Linked DNA regions of Struthio camelus. The protein of the gene in region 3 purifies or fractionates together with the protein of the main gene of each other region. This does not show direct contact. Links are inferred from orthologs where the notes say so. Each region holds a gene or a part of one and is shown on either strand. Other genes may lie near its edges. The genes, in order: HIPK2, AMER1, AXIN1 and PPP2R5A.

Evidence for each region.
Region 1: the proteins of AXIN1 (region 3) and HIPK2 purify together in Homo sapiens (affinity purification with western blotting; 3 studies listed by BioGRID). This does not show direct contact. The link is inferred for Struthio camelus from reciprocal best matches to the Homo sapiens genes AXIN1 and HIPK2.
Region 2: the proteins of AXIN1 (region 3) and AMER1 purify together in Homo sapiens (affinity purification with mass spectrometry; 4 studies listed by BioGRID and IntAct, with this or other methods). This does not show direct contact. The link is inferred for Struthio camelus from reciprocal best matches to the Homo sapiens genes AXIN1 and AMER1.
Region 4: the proteins of AXIN1 (region 3) and PPP2R5A purify together in Homo sapiens (affinity purification with western blotting; 3 studies listed by BioGRID and IntAct, with this or other methods). This does not show direct contact. The link is inferred for Struthio camelus from reciprocal best matches to the Homo sapiens genes AXIN1 and PPP2R5A.

What each region holds. Positions count from the first base shown.
Region 1 is NC_090942.1:64,165,249-64,173,240, reverse strand, and holds the start of HIPK2 (homeodomain-interacting protein kinase 2), read right to left. Parts: upstream 3,019-7,992; 5' UTR 2,804-3,018; coding exon 2,785-2,803; intron 1-2,784.
Region 2 is NC_090952.1:6,355,421-6,362,981, reverse strand, and holds the start of AMER1 (APC membrane recruitment protein 1), read right to left. Parts: upstream 3,013-7,561; 5' UTR 2,878-3,012; intron 2,322-2,877; 5' UTR 2,150-2,321; intron 1-2,149. UniProt on the Homo sapiens protein: Regulator of the canonical Wnt signaling pathway.
Region 3 is NC_090956.1:19,077,483-19,084,339, reverse strand, and holds the start of AXIN1 (axin-1), read left to right. Parts: upstream 1-3,844; 5' UTR 3,845-3,930; intron 3,931-6,218; exon of another isoform or gene 6,219-6,221; 5' UTR 6,222-6,312; coding exon 6,313-6,857. UniProt on the Homo sapiens protein: Component of the beta-catenin destruction complex required for regulating CTNNB1 levels through phosphorylation and ubiquitination, and modulating Wnt-signaling.
Region 4 is NC_090944.1:114,069,513-114,076,978, forward strand, and holds the start of PPP2R5A (serine/threonine-protein phosphatase 2A 56 kDa regulatory subunit alpha isoform), read left to right. Parts: upstream 1-4,455; 5' UTR 4,456-5,362; coding exon 5,363-5,513; intron 5,514-7,466. UniProt on the Homo sapiens protein: The B regulatory subunit might modulate substrate selectivity and catalytic activity, and might also direct the localization of the catalytic enzyme to a particular subcellular compartment.

The DNA.
Region 1 (7,992 bases), on a different chromosome or scaffold from region 3:
TTGAGCCAGCTGCCTAGTTCTTGTACACCCTGCACTCACCTAAATATTCAGAATTGTGAGCAACTCTGTGCATGTGCTCTACGTTATCACTCACTTAAAACTTCTACTGGAATCATTTTCCAAGGTGTCACATTTCCTCCCAGGGCATATTTTCTGTAAAAGAGCCTATGTTCTGAAATCTATATGGTTGGGAGAGATACAGTTCCACATACCCTTGCCTTCGTTGTGGTGGTGGTGGGTGCGTGTAAGTGCGTGTGCCAAAAGAGATCACTCGGCCTCGTGCAGCGCTGGTGCAACGGCGAGAATACAGAAGTTACTGCCCGGTGCAAGCCCTAATCCAACACGTCAGCTCTTGCGCTCTCCTTAGCGGCCTAAATGTACCTGATGCTCCAGAGAAGGACTACAGCCCAATCTCATTATACACGCAATACTGTGTTGAAAAGGGAGGATCACAGTCCTTGTCTCCTAAGGAGGAATCGTCTCCCGCGTGCAGTAAGTTTTTATCGGTGCACTGTGGTATTTCAGGGAATACTAAGGACCTCTCATGGCAACTAGGAGTTGAATAACATTCATTAAGCCGTCCTCCACCTCCCTCTAGGCTTTCTGAAAGCAACCTCACTGACAGACCTATTGCAACCAAAAACTGATAAAACAATCTAAACCAGCCTTTATGCTGTTTATTGGCTCTGGGGATTTGAGACATGCACCTACTTTAAGGCTTGACATTAACTGTAGAGTTTGGCCACGGAGCCTGCTGGCTTTTCTGTGGGGGTTCCAGGGAGCAAGTCTTACAGGCTGCTTTTGGGGGGATTTTTGTGGTCTAGCGTCTTTTCCCAGGCAAGCAAAAGCAGGGCCACAGCTGAAGTCTGGATGCTGCAAGGAACTGCTAAACTCCCAGCAGACGCTTCTGCGTGCCACCACCGTCTCGTGTGGTTTCCTCTCGCCTCCAGGAGGGCTCCCGCACCGGGGCGGCCCCAGGCTGGGGTCGGGGCCTCCCCTCCGCTCGCCCAGGAGCGGGAGCCCTGCGCCCGCCGGCGGTGAGGGAAGCGCGGCCGGGCCGGCGGGGAGCAACCGCAGGCCCCGCTCGTTATTCCCTCTCCGGGCGAGCGAGGCGACGAGCGAAACGCCCTGCCTCGGTGACCCGGAGCGGAGCCGTAACCCCGCCGCCGGGAACGAACCTCCTCGGCGGATACAGCCCGGCTAGGAGCGAACTTCAGCGGATCGCTGCGTGCTCCAAGGCGCTGAAGCCGGCGAAGGGCTCGGGACAGCAAGAGCAGCAGGCGCTGCGCGGCAGGGCAGGGCAGGCGCCTCGACCGCGCCGCGCCCGGCGGGCTCAGCCCAGGGGGCCCGGCCGCCGCCGCCGCCGAGGCCGCGCAGGTGCGGAGGGACCGCGGGGGGCTGCGCGGGCCCCGCCGCGCGGCGCGGCGCGGCGCGGCCGGCAGAGGGCGCCGCCGCCGCCGGCTCCGACCCGCACCCCGGGCCCGGCGCGGCCCCCGCCGCCGCCGCGGCCCCTCCGCGCCCTCCGGCGGCGCGGCCGCCCCGCACCGCACCGCCCGGCCGCCCCCCGCGGGCGGCGGGGGAGGGATGGGCTCCGGCCTCCCGGCGCCGCCGAAAAACAATCCTCTTTGTTTCTTTCGGGGGTGCAAAAGTCGGCATCATCTGGGCTCCCGAAGGCTACCCAGAAATAACCCAGCCGGCTCGGTAACTTTAGACCATCTGGCAAGCGCGTTCATTTGCAGCACTTCAGCCTCTGCTAGATTTTCCCCTCAGATAAGTTTTTATCAGCCTCGCCATACACATAAAAGTATTGCTTCCCCTATTCCTTTCCTCTCCCAGGCATTAAAATCTCCCACCGCTATAAATCGATCGGAGCAAAAAAAAAAAAACAAAAAAAAACATTTCTGGGCAAAATAAAATAAAGCCGGATGGATTTCCCTCTAGTTTATGTAACGCTCTACAATCAATTCCAAACCAGAAGGGGTGACGGAAGAGAATAAACACATCGCTAGGTGATTTAAATTAAGCCAGAATTATTTATTTATTTATTTATTTTTACCAGTCACCCGAGATATGCCCGTATCCAACCCCTTCTGTTTTCGACCCGAAAAAACTTAAGTTAGGGTACTTTGGGCTTTCACTGCAACGCAGGGCTTGATTCAAGGAGAAACTGTAAGAGCTGACAGGCTGGTGCCCGCAGCCCCTATCCCCCCTCCCCGGCGCCTATGCCTCCACACACGAGTATTTCCTCACCCCGGAAAATACGTGTAGCCGATCGGCAAAACCCCAGAAAGGGCTAACTCGGTGAAAATAAGGCGAAAAAGGCACAGGGTGGTCAGCGCTGGAAATTAAAACTACACCGAGGCGCACACGCAGGCACACACACACACACACACACACACAAGCTCAGTCCACCTCATTGTTCTGCTCGGCACCGACACGGACTTCACCCCCCCACACCCCGCCTTCCCCCCCCCTCCACCATCACCACCACCTCGGGGGTCCAAACAATCCCCCCCCCCAGGGGCCGAGCCGCGCCGGGCCCGTCGGGGGAGCGGGGCACGTCGTCGTCGTCGTCGTCCCCCCGCCCCGTCCCCCTTCCCCCGGGGAGCCGCGGTGGGGGGGGGGGGCGCCGGCAGCCGGCGATGCGGCGGCGGCGGCGGGGGGGGGGGGGCAGCCGGGGCCGGCGGGCAGCAGCGGGCCCCCCGCGGCCGGCGGAGAGCGGTGCCGGCTCCGCGGCGCCGGGGGCCGGGTCGGGCCGGGGTGGGGGGGGGGTAGCAGCCTTACCTTCGTACATGGGGGCCATCGGTGCAAGGACGCCTGTTATTCATGGCAACGCCGCCACGAACGACGCGAGATCGCAGCCCCCCAAACTCAGCACACATCTGCCATCTTGAGCGGGTGTCTCTCGGCGGAGGCGAAGCTGCCGCCTGCCTTCTGCATCGCTGCCCGCCTCAGCGCGGGGGGAGCCGGGCACATCCAGCCCCGCTGCCGGCCCTCCGACGCGGCCGGGGCGGGCGGGGGGCGGCGGCGCCGGGCCGGGGCCGGGGCCGGGCCGGGGCCGGGGCCGGGGCCGGGGCCGGGGCGAGGCGCGGGGCCGGGCAGGGGCGGCGGGCGGCGGGGCCCCCCCGGCTCGGGACGGCGGCGCTGGGGAGGGAGGGAAGGAGGGAGGGAGGGAGAGAGGGAGGGAGGGAGGGAGGGGGGCTGGCGCCGTGCCCCCGCGCTCAGCGCGGCATGGCTGCGTGCGCCGGGGCTCCCTGCAAAAGTTGCACTGGGGGCGAGAGAAAGGGAGAGAGAGAGAGACGGAGGGAGAGGGAGAGACGGAGACGGAGAGGAGGGGAAAAAAAAAGGCAAAAAAAAAAAAAAAAGCGAAGGGAGTTTGCAAATAATCAAGCGCCGATGGCACTGATCGCGGCTTCCCAGAAGGAGAGGGAGCGAGCGAGAGAAACCCTCTGCTGAGATTATGTGGGATCTTGTTTAACAACACATTTCAATCAGGAGAAAAAAGGAACAGTCAACAGAAGTTGGTGAAACACTTCTGTCTTCCCCCCCCCCTCCTCTTTATAGAAAAGAGAGGAGGAAAAAAATAAAAAAGGCAGCTGATTGAAGCTTTGCAATTCACTGGCTGTGGGGATCATATAATTTGAGCTCATGTTTTACAATAGCATGGAAAATTCCTACCTCTCCCCCTCTCCCCAAATAAATCTTCTGTTCCCTCAAGGCATTTCACAATCTGGTTCGCTGACAAAAGTTCCAATTTTTCCTTTCTTTTCCATTTAGCTTGCTTGCAGTGTAAATATTTAGAGGATGCATTTAAAATAAACATACGTTGTTGCTTTTAGGATTTGAGGTTTTTTTTTTTTGTTAAACAGAACCACATCAAAGAAGTGTTTACTTATTGAGATTGACAGCCACTACACCCTCACCCCCCTCAATTTTATTTGGAAAGATCTGTCTCTCTCATTCAGCTATTGCTAGAAAGAACACGAACCCGACCAGCATCATTTTTGTCAGTGCATACAGGAAAGCTCTAGGTAAAGCCACGTTATCCAGAACGTCTTTTGCTTCAAAGTGGCTTTACAAGGGAAGATAAGTCACCAGGTACCCATTACGCAGGCAAGGAAGCTGAGACGCACACAAGACACACAGCAGCAAAGCCTCTGGCAAAGGTGGAAACAAAACCTTGGGCTGTGATCCTGCAATAACTCCCATCTGGATCTGCCCGCCTGGAGCTCCTTACCGGCAAGCAGTCTGGGACTAGACCAGTGAAGACGTATTCTCTTAGCACCTGCTATTGTGGCTAGCCCTAAAAACGGTGCTTCTCGTTGCTGCTGGTGCCAGCCCAGATCTCTCCCAGCGCAGGATTAGATTCCAGCAGGGCTCGACACCCCGCCACTCCTGGTGAGATACCTTAAGGAGGAGGAGGAGGAGGAAGGCAACTTTTATTTAGTGATTACAGTGAGAGTCAAGTTCTCCTGACGGTCCAGCTCCTAGACTTGGGGTGCTCAGGGCATGCCAGTGCTACAAAGGAAAAAAGGACCACAGAGCAATCCTTGCTGATCGTCGCCTGGAGCAGGATGGCCATGTCCACGCAGCAGAGCATATGATCCTGGACCCCATTATTTGCCAGATAGCTTTCGTATTTTACTTTTTTTTCCCCCTCCCAGTAAAAAGTGCCATGAGGGCTTTTAATACCACGAGGGCTGCCTTGCAGCCCATTAGCTTTATGTTTACAACACGAAATTTAACTGTGCTGGAGAATGGCAGACAGGGCAGGTGGAGGTGTTTGAGGGTGCAAAGTCTGCTGGGACAGCACTGGAGGACTGTGTACAGCAGAGGGAGCAAAACCGGTTGCGGTCTCATCTGTTCTTCCTTTTGAGCGTGATCCCCAGACTGAACGACACCAGATTATACCCCATCGTCTTGAAAAGAAACGGAGCTTTCTTCAGCTGGACTACTGAAGAAGGGCAAGGCAGAGCCAGGGAGCAATCAGTGTGCATGACGGTGGGCGCAGTATTCACACGTGCCTCTTATTTGGCCATGCAGATGTACCATCAGGGTTCAGCAGTGACTTGATAACCTCACATTTTCCTGGAGCATGCTTCTGGTCATTGTAATTCTGCGCTTCTCTCTTCTTTTATGATTGAGGACATTATCTGCTTTTCAAGGCTATTGATGCTAGTGATCCAGGCCTTTCTCCTTGCCCTCGATCAGAGTGGCAGCTGTGCGGAGCCCCATTTCAAAGCCATGGAGGAGAGATGGATAGCATTGGAGAAAAGCAGAGGACATGATCAAAGGGGAAGGAGCAGGAGGTTAAAGGAACTGGCCTCTTTCCCCAGCATAGCGTCTTACTGCAGCGTGGCTTTGGGTTAGCCACATCAGCCCCACTTTCCTCAGCTGTAAAATGGGGACAGTGGTAACGGCGTCCACTGCATGACAGCAGCACTGATGCTTTCTTCTTTTTCCTCTCGCCCTCTCCATTTCACTCAGAGCTATCCTGCAGCCATTGGTCCTCAGTTAACTCCACTCCCATCAAAGTCAGCATGGTGCAGGAGCTAAAAACAAAAAATAAACCAAACCCTGTCCCTGCCCCCCCAAGAAAAGAGAGGGGGTTGGCAGAGGGCTTTTCAGGGTGCGCTTCATGTTGCCCAAGCATGGAAATGGTGCTGCCACTCCCTGCAGTCGAGTAGAGTGTGGAGAGGGACGCCGGAGCAGCCACACTGAAAGGCCTGGGCATGACGTACCTACAAAATGCTAAAAACGCCTGGATTCAAAGCACAGCTTATTTTACTTCTTCTAGAGGCAAGGTGCTGAACTTGATGGAGCATGTGGCTGGCCCAGGACAACGATTCCTGGTTGCCTTTCAGGCTTGGTAACACCACAGAAAACACCGATCCTCATTTGCTGATAGTGCAGTGACAGGACAGTCAGCAAAGCTATTTCCACCAGCTAGGACTGTTCTAGTCTCACATACTTTCAAATGTTGCTGCAAACTGAGGTCACGTGGGTAAACAAAAACCAGCTCCAATGGGCTCTGACTGCAGCCCAGATCAGTTCTTAAAACCCGGCGCATGGAGCAAGCTCACAGCGTCTGGGCCCGCAGAAGGAGCAAAGGTTCGTCCTCTGGGGCACAGGCTTCCCCCCGACTCTCTCCGGCAGGAGTGTCTCCTTGGCAAGGCATTCGTGGAGGGTGGCTTGGGGCCAGGGAGCTACAACCGCTCGCTGCCCTTTCCCATTGCCCTGCACAGGCAGGGATGCACTCAGGATACAGCCCAGCTCGCAGCCTACTGCCTTCTTTCAGTTCCCTCCAAAACTGAGCAGCCGCACAAGGAGGTTTGCCCCAGCCGCCTGCATCCCACCTGAGTCAGACCAGGCAACACGGGGACCTCCTGGCTGTCTTGCCGATGTCACCGTGGCCCTAGACCGTGTCGGGAAACCCTGTCGTGGGAGATGTTGGAAGACAGGCAGCCCATCCGGGTGGATTTAGCTCCCCCTGCATTGGCGTGAAGGTTGAGTCGTGCAGAAAATGCAGAGGCTAACAGCAGAATGGGGTTGCCCCCTTTCAGCAGAGACTGGATGGTTTGTTTCTCCATCACACTGGAGTGGCAGAGGAGCACTTGTCCGGGCAGCGCACCCCAAAATCCCTCAGGCAGCTGGGCAGCGCAGCCCCCCGAGCTGACAAGCTCACTGTCCCCAGCTCTGGAGCAGCCGCAGAGCACAGCAAAGCTGCTGGATGAAGTCTCTAAGCCTGGACACGGCCAAACACGCAGTGCGAACATGCCCATCGGGACGCAAGCGCGGGCACTGCAGCCTCAGCCCCCCCAGGACAAGGCCACCCGCATGAGAGATGGTTGCCCACTCTCCAAAAGCCTGAGACTGACAGGACATGTCACTAAAATTTTCAATCCACAGAGACTCTCCTATCCTAACGGACTATTTCCCCTCTTTGGTCCCTTCTTGTAGGGGAAGACGGGTAGCTGGTGCTGGAGAAGCACATTTTAACGTGTCATGTTATGATTTTTCATTTATTCATTTGCATACTTCAATCTATCAAAAACACACCCATGATCTGGATATAAGTACTCAGCACACTCATGAAACGCACAGCCTTGTCAGGCAGCATCGCGCACCACCAAAAGAGCGGCATCATCAGCTCTGTCCACCATAACTCACTGACAGTGGTGGTGGATACGAAGCCTGGGGAGGGAAGGATGCCTTCTTACAGCACCGGGCTGTGATTCAGGAGGGCTAGTTTCCATTTCTGGTCCAGATACTCAGATCTCGGCGACCCTGGGCATGTTGCTCTCTTCTCCAGAAGGACACATAGTGTATGACTGACATGTCTCGGAGGCTGCTGGTAACAACCAGAGCCTCTACACGTAACTGCAATATAGGGAAGAGTTACTGTTCTTTGCCAGAAGTGGTGAGGGCTTGGGAGTGGTGTTCTTTTTTTCTTTCTTTCTTTTTTGGAAGTTGAAACAGATTTTGGCCAGGGTAAAAGGAGGACAGAGTGAGAGAAGGAAAGCAGGCAAGTTTTCAGACATGACTGTCAGTCATCATTCAAAAATAAGGTCAAAGCCCGTGCATAGGGCCGGCTCTAACATCTGCTGAACGAAACAGGGAGAATCCCATAGTCAGCAGTGGCTTTGGCTCAAGCTCATCGCAGAAATGTGGCAGTGAAGTCAGGGCTACTGGCTGTCACGTAACCGAGCACGATGAGCAAATGCCTCTTCAAGATCTTCCCAGAGGCGCTGGTGGTGACCACTGCTGCGTCCCCATGAGCGCCGGAGGAAAACGGATGAGCTGCGCACATAGCGGGGCCCAGCTTGAGCTGTTTGGGCAAGGGTGAGAGGGGCTCAGAGAGCCATGCAGGCAGCGTGCCTCCCCGTCTCTGCTCCCTCCAGCAGGCCATAGCTATGCCAACAGCGTGCAAGGGGCAATGCTGGAGATGCAGCCTACCAAGGTGCAGTTTTTCCCGCTTTCTCCTAAAGAAAC
Region 2 (7,561 bases), on a different chromosome or scaffold from region 3:
CCCCTGGTCGCCGCACCCACGAGCACCGCATCTTTCTGATCTTTGAGATTTGCATTCGTCACCGACCTCAGCGTTCCCCTGCTCGGAGTTTCTGTTTCTTCTTTTGCAAAAGGAAATTCTTTCATGTTTCATCATATTTTAACACTGGGCAGGGGGGGTTGGAGCTGGTCTGGGAAACAACCGAGATACTACTGAGAAGAAAGAAGGCACCGCGGACTGCAAAATCTCTCCTTGCTACAGGACTTCAATCTTGACCAAAGCTAACTTGTTCAACTATCACGGCGTCACAGCGACGACCCACACAAACCGAAGGGGTAAGCCAGGAGCACCACGTTTTTTCCTCAGACGCACTCTGTTCATTGAGATCACAGCTACAAGTTCTGTGAGTAGTAACCACATTTGAAAAAAAAAAAAAAAAAAAGCAAGCAAGCAAATACTTTTACGAGCCTGGTGCAAGTTTAACAGCTCTGCCTGAAGAAGTCGCAACGCCTCCCTTAAGTCTGGTACAGAATTAGAACGCAGATTCCTCCTACGTAGGCATTCCTGTGCCTCTCCCCACTCGAAACCATGTGGGTACAGCTTTGTTTTTGTTCTCTGCTGCAAGCATAGTTTATCTGTCTGCTGGCCAGGGGGCCAAGTCTGATCTGCTGCTGTGCTTCACCTCACAACTGGCCAACATTTAATTTTCTTACGTGAAAGAGAAGTCTGGTGAGAAGGATTACAATACAATTGAGGAAAGGAGACATTTCCAGAAAACACATACAGGCAGTCACCCGGTATTTGGGGAAGACTGGCTGGATCAAGGGGCTCAAGCAGTTCACTGTTAACCCGAACACTAACGCTTGCTCAATAGCTCAAATCCTATGCAGGCCTGAAGCATACAGAGTAAGCACCGACAGAAGCCTGACCAGTGCAGCTCAGCTCTTTTGTTCTTTCAAAAACTGCACTGAAAAAAAATCAGCGTTCCGGTTGCAGCTTGCAGATAGCTGATTTTTGCTCGACAGGACACCAGCCACCTAAAAGCAGGGCCACAAGCCACTCGGAGTTAGCACTTGGGGTATGATGGCTGGGGGAGGAGAAACACATGCAGGAATCTGGGGCCACATCTGACACTGCAAAGAACTGTGCTGCAAGACTCTTTGCAAAAGGCTTTCTAAGGGCCTTAGAAAGCCCCAAGGGTCTACCACCTGCTTTGACAGGATAATCCAGAGCTCACTCTGTGTCAACCATTTGTCAAGATATTTTCTCTGCCCTGAAGGCACCATCTCTGAAAGCGAACAACCCACTTCAGAGTAGTTCAGCTCTAGGGGAGAAGGAAGGGGAGGGCAGGACAAAGAGATCATTGACTGTACAAACTGTCCAACCTGTCCAGAGTTAATCTGTTTAGTTTAACTCTCAGAAGTACAGCACAAGCAGGCTTTCTGGAGGTTGCTCATGGAAATCATCAGGGAAAAGGAGAAGATGAGATGGCAAAAGTGCAGCATCTCTCAGGTTGGTTCAGTTTAAATGGAGAACTGTTTCATAAAAGAGGAACTTCAGCCACGTTTCCCACTCAGCAAGGACGTGAACTAGAGCAGCCTATCTCTCCTCTGTTTCCTCACCAGGCTGCCACCAGACAGCCTGTGCTGTGGACTGTGTCCTGGGACGCCAGGCCCATTTCAAGACTTACCATCTCAACCTTAAGTTCTCCCTGCCTGTGACCCACCACCCTGTATGGGATGGGACTTACGGGGCAATCTCACCCTTCGCACAGCTCTTGGTGGAGTCAGAGTTCCCACTCACCCCACAAATGAATTGGGCCAGAGGGTCCACACGCCTCTGCAGAACATGGAAAGCACTTGAGGTTTAGAGTTCCACCATCGCAAAGGCTACAACAGCAAGCTCTCCAGACGAGCAAATTTCCAAAAGGCTTTGGCTGCTCATTCCTCACAAGAGGTGTGTTAGGGAGTGCGCTTTTGCGGCGCTGTATTCATTTGAGCAGGGGTGCCGCCGAGAATCTCTCTCGGCAAGGCTGCAGCAGATGAAGGGAGCTGCAGGAAGCAGCAGAAGGCAAGACCAGCACCACTGGCAGAAGCGCACCATTTCACACAGCCCCCTCAAATTCATCACCGAACGTGCCGATACAGCTCTTTCACTCCGTGGGTCTCACCTCTACAAAAACGCGGCTCAGAAAGAAGTCCGAAGCAAACTGCAGGGGCAAATTTCCACTCGTCCGATGGATTTAACTGCTGCTCCAAGCCAACCAAACTACTGGCACCGTTTCTAAAAGGCGATCAGAACACGAACAGCTGCCCGCACCCTCAAGGCGCTCTGTTAGAACCCTGCAAAGTTAGAGATAAGCTTTACGATTTTAACACGCTGGACGATGCAAAGGCAGCTGGTCGCGAGTGAGAAAGCGATCAGGCAACGAGGCAGACGAGGGGCATTAGCCGTGTGCGGGGGGCACACGCTCAGGTCGCCAGGCGCCGGCGCAGGCCCGCGGGGGCCGCCGCAGCGCTGCCCAGGGCAGCGCTCCCCCCCCGCCCCCAACCCCGGCCTCCCGGGACACCGGGCCCCGGGGGAGGGGGTGGGGGGGGGGCGGAGCGCGGGCGGCGGCGGGGACACGCGCGACGCCTCCCGCCCGCCCGCCCGCCCGCCGCTGCCGTGAGGCGAGGCGAGCCCAGCCCGGGCGGCGCCCAGCCCCGGGCCTGCCCGCCGCCGCCCCCCGGCCCCTCGGCCCGCCCGCCGGGCCTCCGCCGCCCGGGCTCCACACAAAAGCCGAGCGGCCGCCACCCGCTCGCCGCCGGCCGGACCGAGCCGGGCCGGCGCGTCCCTGGGCGCGGCGACATGGCTGCGGGGGAAGAGGCTCCGGCTCCGGGGGCCGCGGCCGGCACTTACCGGCTGCGCTGCGCCGCCGGCAGCCCGCCGATGCGGGCGGGGAGGTTCAGCGGCCGGGCATTGTGTGCGGCGCGGGCCGCCCCCGCCAACCGCGGCCTGCCCCGCCGCCCTGCGCTCGCTCCGACCGCGGGGGAGGGCCCCCGGCAGCGACAGGCTGCGGCGCCGGCGAGGGCGGGCCGAGGAGGGGCCGGGCGGGTCAGCGAGCCCGCCCCGCGCGGCGCCGGCGGGCGGCGGGCAGCGCCGGGCGGGGGCGGGGCCGGGCGGGGCGGGGCGGGGCGGCGGGCGGCCGTTGGCGGCGCGCGGGGCGGGGGGGGGGAGCGGCCGTTGGCGGCGCGCGGGGCGGCGGAGGGGGGGAGCGGCCGTTGGCGGCGCGAGGGCGGGCGGCCGTTGGCGGCGGGGCGGCGGCCGTTGGCGCTTGTGACGCCCCCCCCTCCCTCCCCGGGGACCCCGCGGGGACAGCCTGGTGGTGTGACTTGGGGGTGGCTGTGACTCAGCGGGTGACACGGGGACGCCGTGTGTGTGGCACCGTGTGCGGCTGTGACACCACAGGTGGCACAGGCGTCGCCTGGTCGTGTGACACTGCGCGCACGCACTGTGGTGTTGTGGGTGATGTGGGGACACCCTGGTTGTTTGGCACTGTGCGTGTAGCTGTGGCACCGCGGGTGGCATGGGGACGCGCTGGTTGTGTAACGCGGGGTGTGTGAGACTGTGACGCTGTGGGTGATACAGTGACAGCATGCGTGACATGGTGTGCGTGGCGCCGTGAGGCCCCGGTTGCGGGATACTGTGTGTGTGCAGCTAAGACGCCGTGGGTGACATGGTGATGCCGCGTCTGACACTGGGTGTGTGACACTGTGACACGGCGGGGGTGTGCTGCGGTGACAGGCTGTGCACGCCCTGCTGTGACAGCGGTTTTGTAGGTGCCGCTGTGACACGGTGAGTGCTCCTGTGACACGTGTGTGCCCTTCTGCAAGATGGCGTGCCTGTGCTGCTGTGACGTTCGGGTGATCCTATGACACCGTGTGCCACGGTCACCCTGTATGTGTGCTGCTGGCACAAGGTGACACTGGCACTGTGACAGTGTTTGTGTGCTGCTGTCGAACCACGTGCCACTAGCACCTCCTGTGCATGCTGCTGGCACACCGTGTGTGCCACTGTCACCTCGTGTGTGTGCTGCTGTAACCCCACTGCATGTTACACCATGTGTGTCACTGTCACCATGCGTGCGTGCTGCTGTCACCCTGTGTGCCGCTGTCACCCTGTGGGTCTACTGCTGTAGCCCTGTATGCATGCCACTGTCATACCATGTGTGCCACTGTCACCCTGTGCCCATTCTGCTGGCAGCCTCGTGCCACTGTCACCGCATGTGTCCTGTTGTCACTGCTTGTGTCACTGTCACCTGGTGTGTGTGCAGCTGGCACACCATGTACCACAATGATGCTGTTTCTGTGCTGCTGTCACCCCATGTGCCACTGGCCCCTCATGCAAATGCTGCTGTCACAGTGTGCCGCTGTCACCGCATGTGTGTGCTGCTGTAACCACCCTGCAGGCCAGTGTCACACTGTGTGCCGCTGTCACCTCATGTGTGTGCTGCTGTAACCACCCTGCATGCCACTGTCACACTATGTGTGCCCCTGTCACCCCATGTGTGTGCTGCTGTAGCCCTGTGTGCATGCCACTGTCACCCTGTGTGCTGCTGTCACCCCGTGTGTGTACTGTTGTCACCCCTAAGCCCCTGTCACCTCCCCCCCCCACAGGCAGGGAACAGCATCAGCCAGCACTGGGCTGAGGAGGAGGAGGAGGAGGAGGAGGAGGAGGAGGAGGAGGAGGAGGAGGAGGGAACCTGTCCTCGCGGTGGGCCAGGGCGAGACCTGCGCAGGAGGGTCCAAGTCAGCCCAGCTGGAGCGCTGCGGGCAAAGCGCCCTGCTCCGAGCGTGGGGGAAATAGCATTTTTCCCCACCTCTGTTTTGTGTGAGCGCCCCTCGCCCTTTTCTAAGTGATGTATCGCACCTGCCCAAATTCAATTTTGGCCACTGGCCGCTTGGGATTTCTGGCGAGCGATTTCTGCTCCGTTTAAAGTGCAGGCTCAAATAAAAAGAGTCTCGGTGGATAAATACCCATGACCAAAGACGAGGACAGCAGCAGCAGAGTGCCTTCCACTACATGCCTTTTTCACCGAAAAATTTGATTCGGGAACAGCAGAAACAACTGACTCTCCGCTCATCTGAACCACCTCCGGTCAAGACCCAGTATTAGTAGCATTTGCATGCTTTACTCTTGTTTTAAGGTTCAGCCACGGTAAAAGTCAAGTAATTTTGCCTTGCCTATATTTTTGCATCGTTGTAGGTCAGGCGTAACCGCTATCCCACACGATTAAAAATTCACCTTTTTTTCAGCAAAGACAAAATCTATGAGAAGCTGAGGCAGTGATGAGGACGCTGGAGAAGCGGTCGGGATCAATTGCATCCACATTAAACGCAGGGTGGAATTAAATGAACGGCAATACCGCCCCCTCCCTCACTCACCGACAGGGAAATGCCTCTCAGGAACTCAAAATAAAACCATATAAAATGTTTTTTAGCCTAAAATAAGTAAATAGCAGTAAGAGGGTTTGCTTTGCACAGCTGTTTGCATTAGCTGGAAGGTTTGGGCTGTTACGTCCGTGTTAAATGTAACAAGAGATACATCTCAGAAATTAAAAAGGACTGGAATACACTATTCTCCGTTGTACTACTTTCTGTTCCCTATTTTACCACTTTATTTCTTTTTTTTGTTTTTTTTTTGCCATTTTATCATATTCCCCACTGTACCATTTCCACTCCCTATTTTACGTTCCTTCTGCCGGTGCTGATTTAAGAGACACAACAACCTACCTCGTCCCTGTTGTGACCGGTGAGCTGGCTGCAACGTCCTGCCACCGCATGACGCGGGGCTCCAGATCGGTAACCCTAAAGCAGCTCTGCGCCCACCGCGCGCCCAGCGCCCGTGCATGTCTCCTGGAGCCACCCTGGGGACTGCAGGAGGGTCCCCGCAGCCATGGCTGATGGCCACAGCAGGTCACAGGGGAGGACAGGAGGGCCTGCTTTGGGGATGAAAGGACTTCACTCCTGCTTCGGGGAAAAGGAGGGTCGTTTCGGGGACAGGAGGACTTGCTATGGGGACAAAAGGGCTCGCTCCTGCTTTGGGGACAGGAGGGTCACTTTGGGGGGGACAAGAGGGCTCACTCCTGCTTTTGGGACAGGGGGGTCCCTCTGCTTTGGAAGGACACCTAGTGGCATTAGTGGGGTAAGAGCAAAGGACCGGCACGGAGTGGTAGCATTCGCACATTAATTCCCCACAGAGCAGATACGCCTTTGTCCTCCGACAGACCAGCATTCGTCAAACTGGGACTTCTTGTTACTGTGTTTTAAAGCACCTTAATCATTTCATAGCACCTTCTAGTGCTCCAAATTTGCGAACGAGGGAAGGAAGGGACACTACGCAACTAAAGCAGAGCACTGATTTTAACCGAGTCGTTGAACAGAATACGCATGCAACACGACTACGGTACCCTGGTTTATTCTTCCACATCATTTCACTCTGCATCTGCAAAACACCTCCCTAGACAGTTGTAGCTGTCCTCATTAGGAGGACGCCCTGTCATCTTACCCCAGGAAGAAAGTCACAGCCACACGATTCGGCGGGCTCTTGAGAAAAGCTAAGAGAAACGTTCATGCGTTTAACTTGGTTTCCTAGTACTGACCAGCACTGCATGACAGCTTGTGTTCAGTCAACGCTGTACTTTCTTCGGGGTGAAAACTGTGTCCTTGCTTTTTCCCAGCACGCTGGGAGAAATACAGTAGCAGCACAAGCGGTCGAAGCCTCCGGGGAGAGTCGGCCCTATGATTCTGAACGTGGTAAGCGGAGTCTTGCAAGTCTTGTTTGTCCTTAGATAGCTAACTAATGGCCCAACTTCTTCACAATGTATTAGGTTTTTAATGATGTACTACAGGTTGTTACTGGAAACTCTCAACCAGTTCATCATCAGCTTTTTAACTTTTTCCCTAAAACTTTCTTCCAAGGCAAACAGCTTTCCAGCCTCTGTGGCGACCTGAGGGCTATTTTATCTGCTTTATCCTAATCATCTTAATTTGCAAAGGGATTATCAAAAGTACGTCCCAGTGCGAGGGGCCGGCGGGTGCGCGGGCAAGAGCTGGGGGTCGCAGAGGGGGGCTGCAAGCAAACAGATGACTCCGTGCGGAGCCAGATGGTGCCTAAGAGCTGCTGCAAGTCCACGGATTAGCTGTCACGTCAAGCGCCGAGATGAATAGCATGAATGAGAAATGCGCACGCTAGGCCGAGAGCTGAAATATTAAACCAGCTCATCAGCAGTCAGACGGGCCCGATGCACCCCGCCTCCACTTTGCTCGGCAGCTCCAGAGGCTGCGTTGCCAGAGGAGAGGAAGCAAACGGCAGCAGTCGCCCATGGCCTTGGCGGGCGGACGCTTCGTGCCCTCGGTCGGGGCAGGTGAGGCAAGGCAGGAGGTTTCCTCAGGCTTCAGCAGTCCCCAGCAGGACACGAGGAGGTCACGTCCGTCCCAACACAGGTTGCTCACAATGAACTTAGGGAACCACCAAAGCCAAGACGCGCGCAGGATGGGGATGTCCCAGAGGACCTGCGTGGCTTATGCAGCCGGGACTCAGG
Region 3 (6,857 bases):
CCGGCCGGCTCCAATGCCACTCCCCCTCTGGGGCTTGAACTGTCAGCCTCTGGCCAACAAAGTCCTGCCAGCATTTCTCTTGCTCCTCCCAGGTCCAGCCAGGCCCCGAGGAGCAGTAAGCAGTGGAGGCTACTGGGAGGGATGCCAGGAGCTCCAGGGCACGCGAGGGCCCAGCGTGCATGCTGAGTCCAGGTACCTCAGCCACGTGCACCCTGCTCTACCCAACCTTGTCACCCCCCGCTCGCCACTCTCTGCCCTCCTACCCCTTGCCTTTGGGAGTCTCTCCCAGTGACTTGCATGGAGAAACCTGGATTTGATTTCTCACGTGAACTCAGCTCTGGCCAGGAATTCTTGCTGGGCCTTTCTCCGAGAGACGAAAAGCCCTCTAATACCTGATAGTCTCTCACCCATGAAGCTGCTTCAGCACTGTAATCGGGGCACCTCTTAGGCTCCTTTGAACTAGCTAAAGAGGCTGCATTTCTCAGGCATCTCAGTGCAAAATGTTTTCTCTAGAGACTGGGATCCTGTCTAACTCTTCTCTGCCTGTGCTCTAATTTTTCAGCATCCTTTCTCAAACGCAGACACTGGAACAGGGCGAGTTTTGGGTTCCCATCTTACCAGTGTCCTAGACACCTAACACCATCCTGCTCCTCACCACTCCCCCACTTCTACATCCCAGGCTGGCTTGACCCCTTCTGCTGTAGCATCAACCCCCCATCTCGGTCAGGACTTCCCAAGGGGCGGCTACCCCGGCTCCTACACTTTCATCCGGTGCACAGATGTCTCTGAAACTCTTTTCTGAATCGTTCCTTTCCAAAGTGCAGTTTTCCGTTAGAAGCAGCAGCCTGCATTCTGTGCTCCTAAGAGGTATCATTTTGCATCTGTCCACATTCAAGCACACTTTATTTGCCTGCACTCAGCTCATGAAGTTTTCTACAGCTGGCTTGACCTCGTCGGTGTCTCCTGCCCCTCTCGTTTTCCTGGCTCCTGCATTTTTCTCAGCAGGGCTTTTTAATCTATTTCTAGACCATTGAGGAAAATGCTGAATAGCATTGGGCTTCACATCAAACTCTGCGGACACCCACTGAGAATGCTCCCATTCTGCAAGGATTCCCCATTGATGGCTGTCGGTTTGCCAGTTCCCAGTCCCTTTAAGGTGTCTCTCTTGATGTTGTATTGTGCTAATTTTTAATCAGAATACTATATGGATTAAGTCACATGCCTGAACAGAGTCCAGGTCTATTATTCCTGTGCCATAACCTTTATCAGCCGAACTTGTAATCTCTTCAAAGGATGACATCAGAGTTTGACAAGAGCTATTTTCCAGAAACTAGGCTGATTGCATTAATTATATTCCATCCTTTAATTCTTTACCAGCTGAATCCCACATCAGCTTTCCCATTATTATGCCTAGGTCAGTGTTGCACTGTTACATGTAAATCAGCTACTAGCATCATTCACATGAAAGAGCACAAGGAACGGCACCCTTCTGCCGGGCTCTCCTGCAGGGTAGGGAAGGGGAATACCCCCGGCTGCGGTACATTTTGGTGCGTTTCAGAACGCTGAAAAACACGTTGTACGTTCCAGAAAGCGTCCCCTGAAATGCATGAGCACCAAACACAAATGTGAGCAAGTGCTGAACGTACAGGTACACACAGCAGAATAATGCTGATTTTAATCAGCAGCTGATCCTTATCGGAAATCTTTTTGAGCCGCTTCTGGTTTCCAGAGGACTGTCTCGTGGCTTGTTTGCTTGTTTAGCTACCGGGATCACAGTGAGGGGTCTGCCTGACTCTGACTGTCTGTTCACTTTCCAGGGAAGAAACAGGCTTCGGATTTCCCTGTAGTAGGAGTTCCCTGAATTCTTGTTCAGTCTTTGCACGTGGTAGTCCCCTTCTTTTTCTTTTTGCAGCGTCACCCAGCCCTCCCACACATGAAAGCCTTACAGTCTAGGTGTTGGGGTATCCCTTCCAGCCAAGGGCTTTCTCTAATCAACCATTTCTGGGTAAGGCACCATCCCCTCCACCTTTTCTCAGGAAGAGTCTCCATGTTGTTTCACCTATTTCAGTCTATACAGTGCCACCTCTTGGTGAGTTCACTTATTTATGCTAGCTGCAGAATTGCGGGGTTCCTCAGAGAAACAGGAGACGCACGAGCAGTTTTGAAATCAGCTCTAGTTGTTTGGCCGGGCGAGAGCCACCCGCAGAGCAGTTATCTGCACTCCTCTATCCCTTGGCCCACAAACGCAGGTCTCTTCTAGGAAGACCTCAAATAAAAATTAACCATTAAATCCCACTGCCTAGCAGAAGAGGCCTAGGAGTAGTGTGGAGCCAGCCTTGAGGATCACTGCCCTTTCCTTTCCAAGATGAAGAGAGATCTTTTGTGGGATGTAGCTGCGCAGCAGAACAGCAGGTCTCTGAAACACGAGTCTCTCCTGGGCTGTGTTCTGGTCAGGATGCTTTAAAGAGCTCTCCTGGGCTTATTTTGTCCAGAAAAGCAGAAGAAAAAGGAGGTGTAATTCCATGCTCCTTTCCCACCTCCGGAGCTGCTCAGCCTTTGAGTAAGGCAGCAGTTCAGTTAGGTTCTCCTAGGCTTTCCCAAGGCAGCAGAGCCCATGGGCATGCCAGAGTCCCGGACCCCTCTCAGCTACCCACAGCGGGCAGAAGTTACGCACTGAGGCGTGCGTGATCCCCGAGGTCACCCTAGAGGCGCGGGCTGCTCTTGGTCTGGGATATCCAGAGGGCAAACCGCCCCACTGACCGTGTCAGCCTGTGTTCACGTGGGCCGTTCCCCAGCTGGGCCTTTGAGGTCTCCCACGCTTCCGCAGTCCCCGTCTCGCCCCCGAAGCAGCGTGGCCACAGGGCCTCAAGGAGCGCCGACCCTCGCGGCAGCTCAGCAGGGCTCACGAGGCCAAACCGCGGGGCCGCACCAGGCACGCCGGCCTCCCTTGTGCCAGCGTCCTTGTCCCCTTGAGCGCTGACGGGCGCCCAGATCACGTGCCCTCCTCTTACGGAAAGGTGCCGGGCGCTTCTCCTTGGATGCCTGCCGCTGGTCCCCGGAAACGACCGCGTGGTCGCTGCGGCTGGGTCTGCGGTGGCGGGGCCGGCGGGTCGCTAGGTCCCGCACCCGCCAGGCGACAGAAGGGACAGCAGGGCTCGGGGCCGGCGGGTCGCTAGGGCCTGGGCGACGGCGAGGCTCGGGGACGGCGGGCCACCAGGCCCCGCACGCGGCCCGGGCGACGGCGGGGACGGCGCGGCCGGTGCCCGGCGGGTGGCCAGGCCCCAGGCGCGCTCCGGGGAGGGAGCTCCGCGCCTCGCGTGCTGCCCGGTAGCGCGGTGGGCTGCGCGCCCGGGCGGCGGCCCCGCTCCCCCGCCGCGGCCGGCCCTGGCTCGGCCTCGCCGGGAGACGGCGGGCAGCAGCGCGGCCCTGTCACGGGCCCCCGCGGGGCCTGCGCCGGGGGCGGCCGCGGGCAGGCGGCGGGGCCGGGGCCGGGCGGCCTCGGGCGCGCTGCGGCCCCGGCGGCGGCGGCGGCGGCGGCGGCGGCGGCGGCGCCTCCCCCCGCGCCCGGCCGGGCCCGCCCCGCCCCCGCGCCCGCCCCCGCCTCCGCGGCCGGGCGGCGGAGCGCGGCGCGGGCTGGCGGCGCGGGCCCGGCCCGCAGTACCGGGCGGGGGCGCGGGGGGCGCGGCTGAGCCGCTCTCTCCCGGCGCTGCGAGGCAGCGGCGCAGGCGGAGCGGTGCGGGGCTCGCTGCTCTCCGTGTCGCCGCCAGAGCCAGCGGCCGCGGCCATGGGCGTCCCGGGCCGCCCGCTTTGTGCCGCCGCCGCCGCCCCGCCGCCGCCGCCGCCGCCGCCCGCCGCCCCGGGCCGCCGCCGCCGCTGCTGAGCCGCATGGGCCGGGCCCCGCGCTGCCGCCGCCGCCGCTGCTCCGTGCGGGTGAGTGAGCGGAGGGGAGGCGGCCCCGAGCCCAGGCCCTGCGCCGAGGCCGCGCCGGGAGGCCGCCGCCGAGCCGGCGCTAGGCCGCCAGGGCGCGGGGGGCGGGCGCTGCTGCCGGCGGCCGCGGGGCCGGGCCGGGCCGGGCCGCGCGGGGCGGGAGCGGGAGCGGGAGCGGCGGCGGGGGCGCGGGCCGCCCGGGCGGGCAGGCCGGCCCCGCCGCTCGCCTGCCCCGAAGTTGCCCGGCGGCGGCCGGTGCCGCGCTGCGGGGCGGGTTCGCACCGGGCCGCTCGGGGCAGAGCCCTGTCAGCCTCGGAGCTTGAATCCCGGCCCGCGGCGAGCGGCTCGCTGCCCACGGGCGGGCTGAGCCGCGCGCGAGCCGCCGGCAGCCCCCGAGCGGGGCAACTTGGGGCGGGGGCGGCGGGATCAAGGCGGCCGGGGGGCGCCGGCTCGCTCCTCCCCCCCCCCCGCCCGCCCGCCGCGCACGTCGGGGCCGAGCCGCGGGCCCGGCGGCTGCAACGCGAGAATCGCGCTGCGCCCCGGGGGCAGCGGCCGGGGCCCGGCGGCCGCCTCGTCCGCCGCGGCGGCCGCTCCCCGCCCGGCCCCGACGGGGGGGCGAGGGCCAGCGATGGAGCCGCCCTCGCAACACAATGACCAAAATGGCTCGTGCGCCCGTCCCCGAGCGGGGCTCTGCGGCCCTGGCGGCCGGGGCACCCTCCTGGGCGAGAGCGGCGCGACCGCGGCGCTCGCCGCCTCGGACCCCGGGCGAAGATCGCGGCGAAACGCGCCACGCAAAGCAGCCGCCCGGCTCGCCGGTGCCCGCCCGTCCGTCCCGCGCGCCTCGGGCCCGGGTGCGAGGAGCGGTGGCCGCTCTTGGCGCTGCCGCCCGTTTCCATGGGTCTGCTGGGTCCTGGGTGATTTTGCTGGGTTTCGGTGACGCGCCGGTTGGCTGTAAGGACAGCCCGCCGTGGCGGCTCGTAGGTGGTGTTTTTCAGCTCGGCCGAGGAGAGGAACCGGGGGAGACAAAAACGGCCACGCATCCAAAAGATGCGTTCATATGGGTGGGGTGAGCTCGGAGAGAGAGGCTGAGTTGAAGCGCGTCTTCCCTGCTATGTTTGCACGTGCGATTGAGTGAATGCAGTGCAAGGAGCAGTTTGGCAGGCAGCTGGAGCTTTGCAGTACGCGAGGGCTTCGAGGCTGACGGCGTTCTGCACAACAAAACTTCTGCTGCTGCCTTTAAATAATTAAGTGACTTTGCCTAGCCGCGAAAGTAGCTGTCCAGGGATCGTCCTCCTCTGCTTTTCCCTCCTTCCCCGCACCTTCCATCCTCCATCTTGACTTGTTACTCTTCTTTAAAAACGTCACGACTGATCAGGTTGCCTTCTTGAGATGCTTTTCCCATCTTCGTTTGATGACCTGAAGTTTTCCCAGGCTTACAGCACGCGATGTTTGTTAGCTTAAATGAACCCTTGCTACCTGGCCTCTCTCTGTGAAGCGCAGTGCCAGAACTGAAATCCTGTAGTAACATGCCCGTTACATGCAAGAATGTAGTTCAGATGCCCAAAATATTGGGGTCATTGGTGCGTTTGGATTCCCCTAGCACTAGATAAGACCGTGCAGCGCGCCTCTAAAAGGCAAGAATTTCGGGGGAATTTCACATTTCACATGTCACCTGATTGTATGGGCAGCCACCTGCGCTTGGCCAAGTTGTGGGCTCACTTTCAGTACTGATTGGATATTCTTTCAGAGTATTTTTCCCAGGCCTTAAACTCCTGCTTGGGGAATGAGGAAGTACTAAATCTGTAGGCAGATAAAAGCATATTACCTTGGTGTGACTTACTACATCTGCTAGTTAGACTTACTCTATTTAATCTGCAGGTAAAGTTAGTGTCCGGTTTAGGAGGCTGCATGTGTCCTTTTTCTGCGTGCGGGCTGTTTGCCAGTTGGTGCTCCAAGCGTAGATCTCTTGGAAACGGGGACTGCCAAATCCCGGAGTCCTGTAAAACCACCTGTATTTTGAAGTTGGCTGCTCTTAGTGTAGTACCGGCTGTATCATTTATCCTGAATGCTGGAACTAAAGTTTTGGAATGATCTTTAACAGTTATTTCTACAGGTAGGAAGGGAGTACCTGCTTTGGTCCCGATTTTGCTCTCTCTGAAATGGCTCAGAGCTTTGCCATTGGCTTTATTAAATCTTCTTTTTCAGCACAGTAGTGCAAAGCAAAATTAGTGGTCTGTAAGCTTAGAGTGTTTGTTTGCAGTAATACTTGATTTTTTTCTCATCTATTTCAGCAGAACAAAGGTGTTCACATTGGAGCTACAAACATTGGTGTTTTGAGATTTCAGCTCTTCTCCTACGGTTCCTGTGCGAGCAAGTGCCATAAAAATGAACGTCCAAGGGAAAGGCTTCCCTTTGGACCTCGGAGGAAGCTTCACTGAAGATGCTCCGAGGCCACCAGTTCCTGGTGAGGAAGGTGAACTCGTGTCCACAGATCCAAGGCCAATTAGCCATGGTTTCTACTCCAGTAAAAGTGATGTCGTTAGAAATGAGATGTCCACAGCAACACCAAGGCGCTCGGATTTGGATTTGGGGTATGAGCCAGAGGGGAGCGCTTCGCCAACTCCACCCTACTTGAAATGGGCCGAGTCGCTGCATTCCTTGCTGGATGATCAAGACGGTATCAATCTCTTCAGGACTTTCCTGAAACAGGAGGACTGTGCAGATCTGCTGGACTTCTGGTTTGCCTGCAGCGGCTTCAGGAAGCTGGAGCCCTGCATGTCTAACGAGGAAAAAAGACTCAAACTGGCAAAAGCCATTTACAAAAAATACATCCTCGACAACAATGGAATTGTGTCCCGGCAGATCAAACCAGCCACAAAAAGCTTCATAAAAGACTGTGTCATGAAACTACAGATTGACCCCGACATGTT
Region 4 (7,466 bases), on a different chromosome or scaffold from region 3:
ACAAACTTCTTAAATTTTTTATTTGCAACACAACCATGTTGGATTAGCTAACAGAAGATTGAATTAAAAAGTTTTAAAAATAAGAAGAAGAATCACATCTAGTTTTCACAATCCACTGCCTGCGCATACACAAGCGCATAGCTTTGCCTGGAAAGGCTGCAAGAATGTATTCATAGGTATGCTGAAGGAAGTCTAACTCAGAGCCCTCACAAGAGAAGGTCCTGCCAACTAATCTCTGACTTCCAATCCCACGATTTTAAATCCTGCTCTAGGAGGAAGATAACAGATGGTCTCTGAGATAAGTGATTCTACATTATTTAAGGATTTATCAAGCAAAAGATTTAGGAACACTTCTGCTAGATAGTGACTATCCAGTGCAGACATGCAGACATTTACACACTTTAACCTGAAATATGTGAATAACTAACTTGGTTTTAGTGGCAGGCACAGTTCAAGTGCTTAAACTTAATCCCAGGCATGCTTGAAAGAGTAGAGCCTTAGCACAGAAAGTATTTTAAGTTAGCTGAAAAAAATACCTAGAAAAACCGATGGAATGGTGCAGTAGTAAATACAAGCAGTGTTGTGACGCACAGGGATTTTCCTTTAAATTCTTCATTTTGAGAAGGATATCAAAAGGTTTTCATAACCTCTTTCCCCACAAACCTTCCTGGCTGAGGGTTCACCCACTTATGGCATCCTCTTTACTATTATATTCCTCCTACTGTCTCGGAGAACTAGATTTCTTGCAGCTTGACCTGACAGAAGAATGGGAAAGCAGAACTAGTTAACTCCTTATCTCCTGGCCACCAGACAATTCCCTGTCCTCTGTAGCAACCTGATCCATGAAGCCCCACGCTTCCAAGCCAAGTTTGTTAGAACTCTAAAAGTTAATGACACATCAAGTTCCCATTCATATTTTTGAAGGTCTCACTCCTGCAGGGAAGATGCTGAGAAGATGCTAAGAATATACAGGAAATAAGTCTCTATGATTTAACGAAAAGTATTGCAAACGTGACGTTTAGTGAAATCTCTTCTAGAATTTTGCTCCTCCATTTAGAATGATAATGATCATTACTTCCTAAACCTTTGACTTTTCTTCCAAGTAAAGTTAGACACATGCACAAAGTTTTGCAGGATCCATGCTTCAGTGTATATTGAAGGCTCTGATTTAAGAGTTGGAATAGCTTGCCATAAAATTACCGTTCACAACATTCTCTGTGGATATCTCAGACTTTTATGAATTAGATTTGGAGCCAGCAGCTTATAGCCTGGCATCGTGACCACGTGCCTTTAAATACACTCTAAAAACCATGAGGTTCAGAAGCTGACTCACAAGCAGCTCACAGCTGTGTAGGAAGCCGTGTGTGCAGCAAGCAGGGAAGGGCAATCTCTGGCTTTCTCAAATGTAGCTGCTTCAAATTGCCAGTCGGAGCTCTGTTTCCTTTTTTCTCCTAACATCCCAATCCCATAGACCTGTATGCTCAACTGACTTTATTCATTCATGTAATTCCACTGACCTCGTTCACTAATTCAAATATTACAAATTCAGTTTGTGAAATTAGAGCCGGTCCACGGAGCTGCTGCTGATTCTTTTTCAAAACAGAAGAGTTATAATAAAAAGACAAAGGAAAATTCGATAGCTAAAAATAGATTTGAGAGAATAAAATTGTTTCTTTTTGTTGGCTGACTCAGATTTCACTGATATTTCTTGTGTGAGTGATATAAAAAGATAAGGTCTGAAAATATTTTCAGGCGCAATCAATATGAAAATTCCATCTTTGCAAGATTACAGCTATTATTTACTTAGGTTTCTGCATCAGGAATTTCAACTGCCAATGGATTTTTACAACATTGTCTTATCAGCATGGCAGCCATTCCAAAGCCTAGTAACCTTGAAGAAAGTATTTTAAAGCTCAGAAAATGCTCTTATGTTACTTAGCATTTATATAATGCTTTTCCCTGACAGCTTTCAAAATATTGAATGGATGGAACTTTAAGATAGATTCCTTTACACTGAGAAGAGGCAGCAAGAGTTGAGTTGCCACTAAAGACTGTATCGGACACACTAGACAGTGTCACTTTCTAAAAATGGGTGTAGCAGAAAATGACAGCTGTTGGAGGGCAGGCAGGAATACACTGACACAGGGACTGGGCCTTAGTGGGCTCTGAACAGGAACTATGGTCTTTGAAGTGAGAGGTGAATTAACCAGGTAAGGAGTGCAAGAATTTCCTTTATTACAACAAATACACGAGCTTGCAGTTTAAAGTGCCTAAAGGTACCCATTTTGTTTGTAAAATGGATTTTGTAAAATATATTTATAAAAATACAAATGAAATAAAAAGTCTACCTACCTACAAGAAAGATAACAGCACACTGCAACTTATGCTTAGGGAAAAATAACTTATAGATATATTGGATAGTCTGGAATACTTAGAAAAAAAATTCTTAGACTACTCTCCACATTTTCTGAATACTAAAGATTAATTAAAAGCAAAAAAGATGAAGGTACACAAGTAATCATGCATTAAAAAGTAAGTAGAGATGGTGTTGCCATAAGAAAGAAAAAAGGAAAGACTGATAAAATGAAATAGTTCCTATAGAACAGGCTTATACAGTCTTAGTTTTCTATGTTCACACAAAGCCATAACCTACACTTGATTTTTGATTTACTGATCATACATCTGAAGTTTAAACTCCCACCTCATGAAAGTATTTAGGAAACATATACAGTTACTTCACAGTATTTACAACCTACCAAAGACATTCAGATCTGAGCACATATTTAAAATACCACAAATATTTATTTGCTGAATTGGTACCTAAAACTCTGCATTAAGAAGAAATGTGTTGATATGCACGAAACTAGTCTGTCATCTCTACCTGAACGACAAGCTAAGGCATCCCATATGTTTATGGTTCAAAAGTAGGGCTGTTTGGATATGGAAATGGGACCGGGTAAAAGTCATATTTTCATGTAGTCATATACTGCATCCTCAAGCATCATGCTTTTCATTTGGTGTAACAGTTACAAATCTTGTTTTCCATGGCTGAAATTCAACTGGAATTATATAAATTGTACGGAATTTTTACTTTTTGCGACATATTTGTAATTGAGACACTAGACCCAAATTCCATCCCCCAAAATGCTGCTATTCCATTTTTTTGTGCAGAAAGATAGAATTTCTCCTATTCCCGCCCCCCATTCTTCCATTTCATTCATACCCATGGTGTAAAAGCAACATCTCTTGCCACCCATGGGCCTACAAGATTTGGTATTCTTATTCTAAGCCACCAACAAAAAAAAGAATAAACATTCACACTTTGAAAGTTAAGCACGTGCTTGCTTCAGACAACCGTGTGTGCTGCAGCAGCCTCCAAAACGGCATTGTGACTCAGTAAACGCCATGGTAACCCAGATTCATAAAAGTCAAACACATGGGAGAGAAAAATGCGTGGTGTCAGGACAAGCAAAAAAAAAAAAAAAATAGAAGCACTCGGAAGATAGCTAAGGACAACGTCCCCCACACAAAACTCATTTAGTTGTAGCGTCACTCCAAGCACACAGCGGCCGTGGTTAAGCACGCTTTTAGCAGTTTTCTCAGTGGGGAGCGTCTCCAGTTACCACACGTGGCTGCTAACGGCCCGCTGAAAGGCTCGAGCATAACTGCCGTTTTCCCAGCAGCACCAGTAATTTCTGGCCAGCCCCAGCCCTGCCGGCCGGCCGGCCCGTGCCACCCGGGGGGCGCCGAGGCCGGGAGCCCTCGACCCCCGCCACCGCCGGGCTCAGAGGCCGGGAGGCGGCGAGGAGCCCGGCGCAACGCCATGGCGCCGGGCCGCGCCGGAGAGGCGCCCAGGAGGGCTCCGGCCCGGGGAACCTGGTCACGGCGGCGCCTCCTGACCCCGCGACGGCGAAGCCGAGCGGCAGCACTGAGGCGGCCCCAACCCGGGGAAAGGGTTTCGCCGCCCGCACGCGGGGCGCCGCGGTAACGGCTACTGCGGCGGGCGGGGCGGGGCGGGGCGGGGCGGGAGCCTCGCGCGCCCAACCGCCTCCCTCCCCGGCGCGAACGCCGGCCTTGGGACCGCCCCCTGGCGCGGATTGGCCGGGAACCGCCCCACCCCCCCACCTCCACCTCTCCCCTGCGTCAAAGATTAAAAACCCGCCCACCCCCCTTTCGGCCTCATCCGGTTGGAGAAGCCTCTTGTCAATCACTCCTTCCCCGGGAACTCGTCCCAGCTCTCGCGTTCTTCCCACCCCCGGCCCGCGAGGGGGGGTAGTGTGTGTGTGTGTGTGGGGGGGGGGTTCCATGGTGCCCTTTTCGCATTGGCTGCTCGGCGCTGCCAGTCATCGAACGCCGGCGCAACGGCCGCTCCTCCGTGCCTTTCTTGCCCCCTGGCGGGTAACCGCTGCCCCGCCCCTCTCCCCTCCCCCCCCCCACCGCCTTCCTCCCCGCCTCAACTCCACTCGCGCCGCCAAGTTGCGCGACCGCTGGCTCGGCGGCTCCGGGGCTCGGGCGGCGCGGCCGCGGCGGGCGGAGACACTCCTGGCGGAGCGGGAGGGGACAGGATGACGGCGGAGGCGCGGGGAGCTGCCGGCGGCGGTTGAAGGCGGAGAGAGGGCGTGTGGAAGCGAGCGATTTGGGGAGGAGGAGGAGGAGGAGGGGGGGGTGGAAACTGCCTCCCCGGTGGGCTCGGCCCAGCGGCGAGCGCGGCCGATGACAGCGGGCTCGGCGCGGGCTGGCGCAGGCGAGCCCGGCTGAGGGGGGCCCGGAGCGAGTGAGGCGGGAGGCGGGCAGCAGCGGCGCCGCCGAGCCCGGCCCGCCGCGGCTCTTGTTGCGCCTGCCCTGAGGAGAGCGGGAGCCCGGCACGCCACCCCCCCGCCCCGCTCACGGGAAAGTTTGGCGTGTGCCCGCCCCGCCGGGCAAAGTTGTTGCTGGGTTTGTTTGTTTGCTTTTTTTGTTTTTCCCTTCCCTCTTCTCCCCTCCCCGCCCGCCGCCTCCCCCGGAGCCGGCTCCGCGCGGAGAGGAAATTGGGAGGGAAGCAGGAACTGGGGAGCGAGGCAGCGGCCCGCATCCAGGAGGCTCCTCAGCGCCCGGCAGCGAGGGGCCAGCGCCGGGACGGCCGCTGCCCGAGGCGGCGCGGAAGCCTGCTTGCCGCTGGGACACCAGCCCTCTGCACCGCCTTTCGCCTTGGTGTGTGTGCGCGGGCCGGCTTGAGGGCAGGGAGCCTTTTTTTTTTTTTTCTCCCCCCTCTTTTTTTTTTTTCTTTCTTTTAAGCCCCTTTTTTGCCCGCCCGCTTTCTCCCTCCGCTTTAATATATGCTTGTGGAGAGCGACGTCCCGCCGCGCCGCCTCACCGCCCAGCCATGTCGGCGGCCATCTCTGCCGCGGAGAAAGTGGATGGCTTCACACGGAAATCGGTGCGCAAGGCTCAGAGGCAGAAGCGCTCGCAGGGCTCCTCGCAGTTCCGCAGCCAGAGCAGCCAGGTGGAGCTCTCGCCCCTGCCCCAGCTCAAAGGTACCGCTGCCCCTCTCCCCCCTCCGGCTAACAGGTGCCCCGGGGCCCCTCGCCTGCCCCACCGCCGCCTGCCGCGGCTCGTCCTCCGGCCCCGGCTGCGCCCTGCCGCCGGCCCTTGCGGCCGTCGTGCTCGGCGCGGACGGGCTTTCTGCCTCGGGCCGCGCTTCTCCGCGGGTAACGGAGCGTGCGGGTCGCTTCTCACCGCCGCGGGGCTTAACTGCGCTACCTGGCAGCCCCCTTCCTGGCTCTTTTAGGAGTAAGCGTTGGGAGGGCAGGTAGGCTTCCTGACGGCTTGTGCGCAACTGTAAACTCTCCCTTAAGCTGATAAATTTGAGTGTAGGAGTAGAGAGAATTGAGGATTAAAACCGTGGAGCAAGTGGTGGCTCCTCCCACGGGGGGGGTTTTGCAAAGAGGAACTCGGTGCCTGTGGCATAATATCTTGAGTTATCAGAGAGGGTTTGCCTTTGACTTGTTTGTGCTTTCCCATCACCTCTAGACAGTTCTTGAATGACTCTTTACTTGTCTTATTCTAACTATCAGGAATTGCCCCAAAGCCTCTCTCCTGCTTAGTGTGGTACAGGATCAGTCACACGCAGTGAATTAAGGTTTTTAGATGCTGGCCTCACTAAAACTCAAAGAAAATAGTGGACGCTTATCCTGTGTCCTGAAGCTAAAATCTGAATAGTCTATGTTTGTTAGAAGAGTACAAAAATGAAGTTAGTTGTAGCCTGTCACACCTTTAAACATCAAATTCAAGTTGTATATATTTCTTGTTGTTTTAAAAATTACAGAAATAGTTATTAGGTAGAGAATATAAGTTTGTTATTAAAATAAAGTGTTTGACAAGGACCTGAGAAAGACGGTGGAGGTGTTACCTTAACGTTACCCAAAATACTAAATTTCTTGATGCTACTGTTGATCTTAGGATTTTTGAAGCTGTATCATGTGATGATGGACAGCAATCTCAATTTGCATCAAAAATACAGAATTTAAATGCAATTTAGCCAGCTTAAAAATAGTTTTAGGTATCAAATAACTTTTTTTTTTGCTGCTTGTTTTCTTCTTACGGCTTTTATAGTCATGTTTATAATATTTCAAGGCTTTTTTACTCGAGTGGTAGATGTACACAGTAGACAGTGTAAATCATGAAACTGTTAGCAGAAATGTTATTAGAAGCAAATAAGCTAGGGCAGGAAGGTAACAAGGGAGTTGTGGGTTTTTTGTTTTGTTTTTGTTTTTTTCCTCTCCCATATCTGTTGCAGTAACTGTGGGTGTTCTTACTGCTTGGTTAGGATTTTCTTTTCTCTGTCAAGTTCTATCCTATCTTGGTAAGCTAGTGTAATTTGAGAAAACTAGAATAATTATTTTAATTCTTAACCAGAGTAATTTGTTTGAGATCAGAATTCAGTTTCTGCTCTTGGTATGGCTACGTTTCTGCATATCTTTAATAATGACTCTCATGCATACACTGTTTAGACAGTGTATATTGCTCTCAAATATGATTTTTATAACACTGCTTGCTACTAAGACCCTGTAGAAGCACTTGGTAAATATCATGAATAGGTGGCAGAATTCAGGGAGTTTTGGTCCTGATTCTGCAAGCAGTTAAGCATGCATACTTTATGCAAGAAATGACCCAGCTTAAATCAGTAAAATGTCCAACTTTACATTCTTTGCTGAGTTGGAACTTAATGTTAAAAATGTTTCACTCTGTACAGTTAAGTCTTAGAGTTTTGTGAGTGTATTTTTAAAGCTGTGTTCTTGTAGTATAGGAAATTCTGCATGGCATCAGCAGCTCAGACGTTTGGAAATTTGAGGCCATGAACAATCAGAGGAATGTTTTCAGTTATTCATAGTTTTATAGTAGTCTGAATTGCCTTAAATTCTTAATGGAAAATAACATCTGGCTTTGTGCTTATGGTTTAAATTTAAGACTCATACTCCAAATCTGCC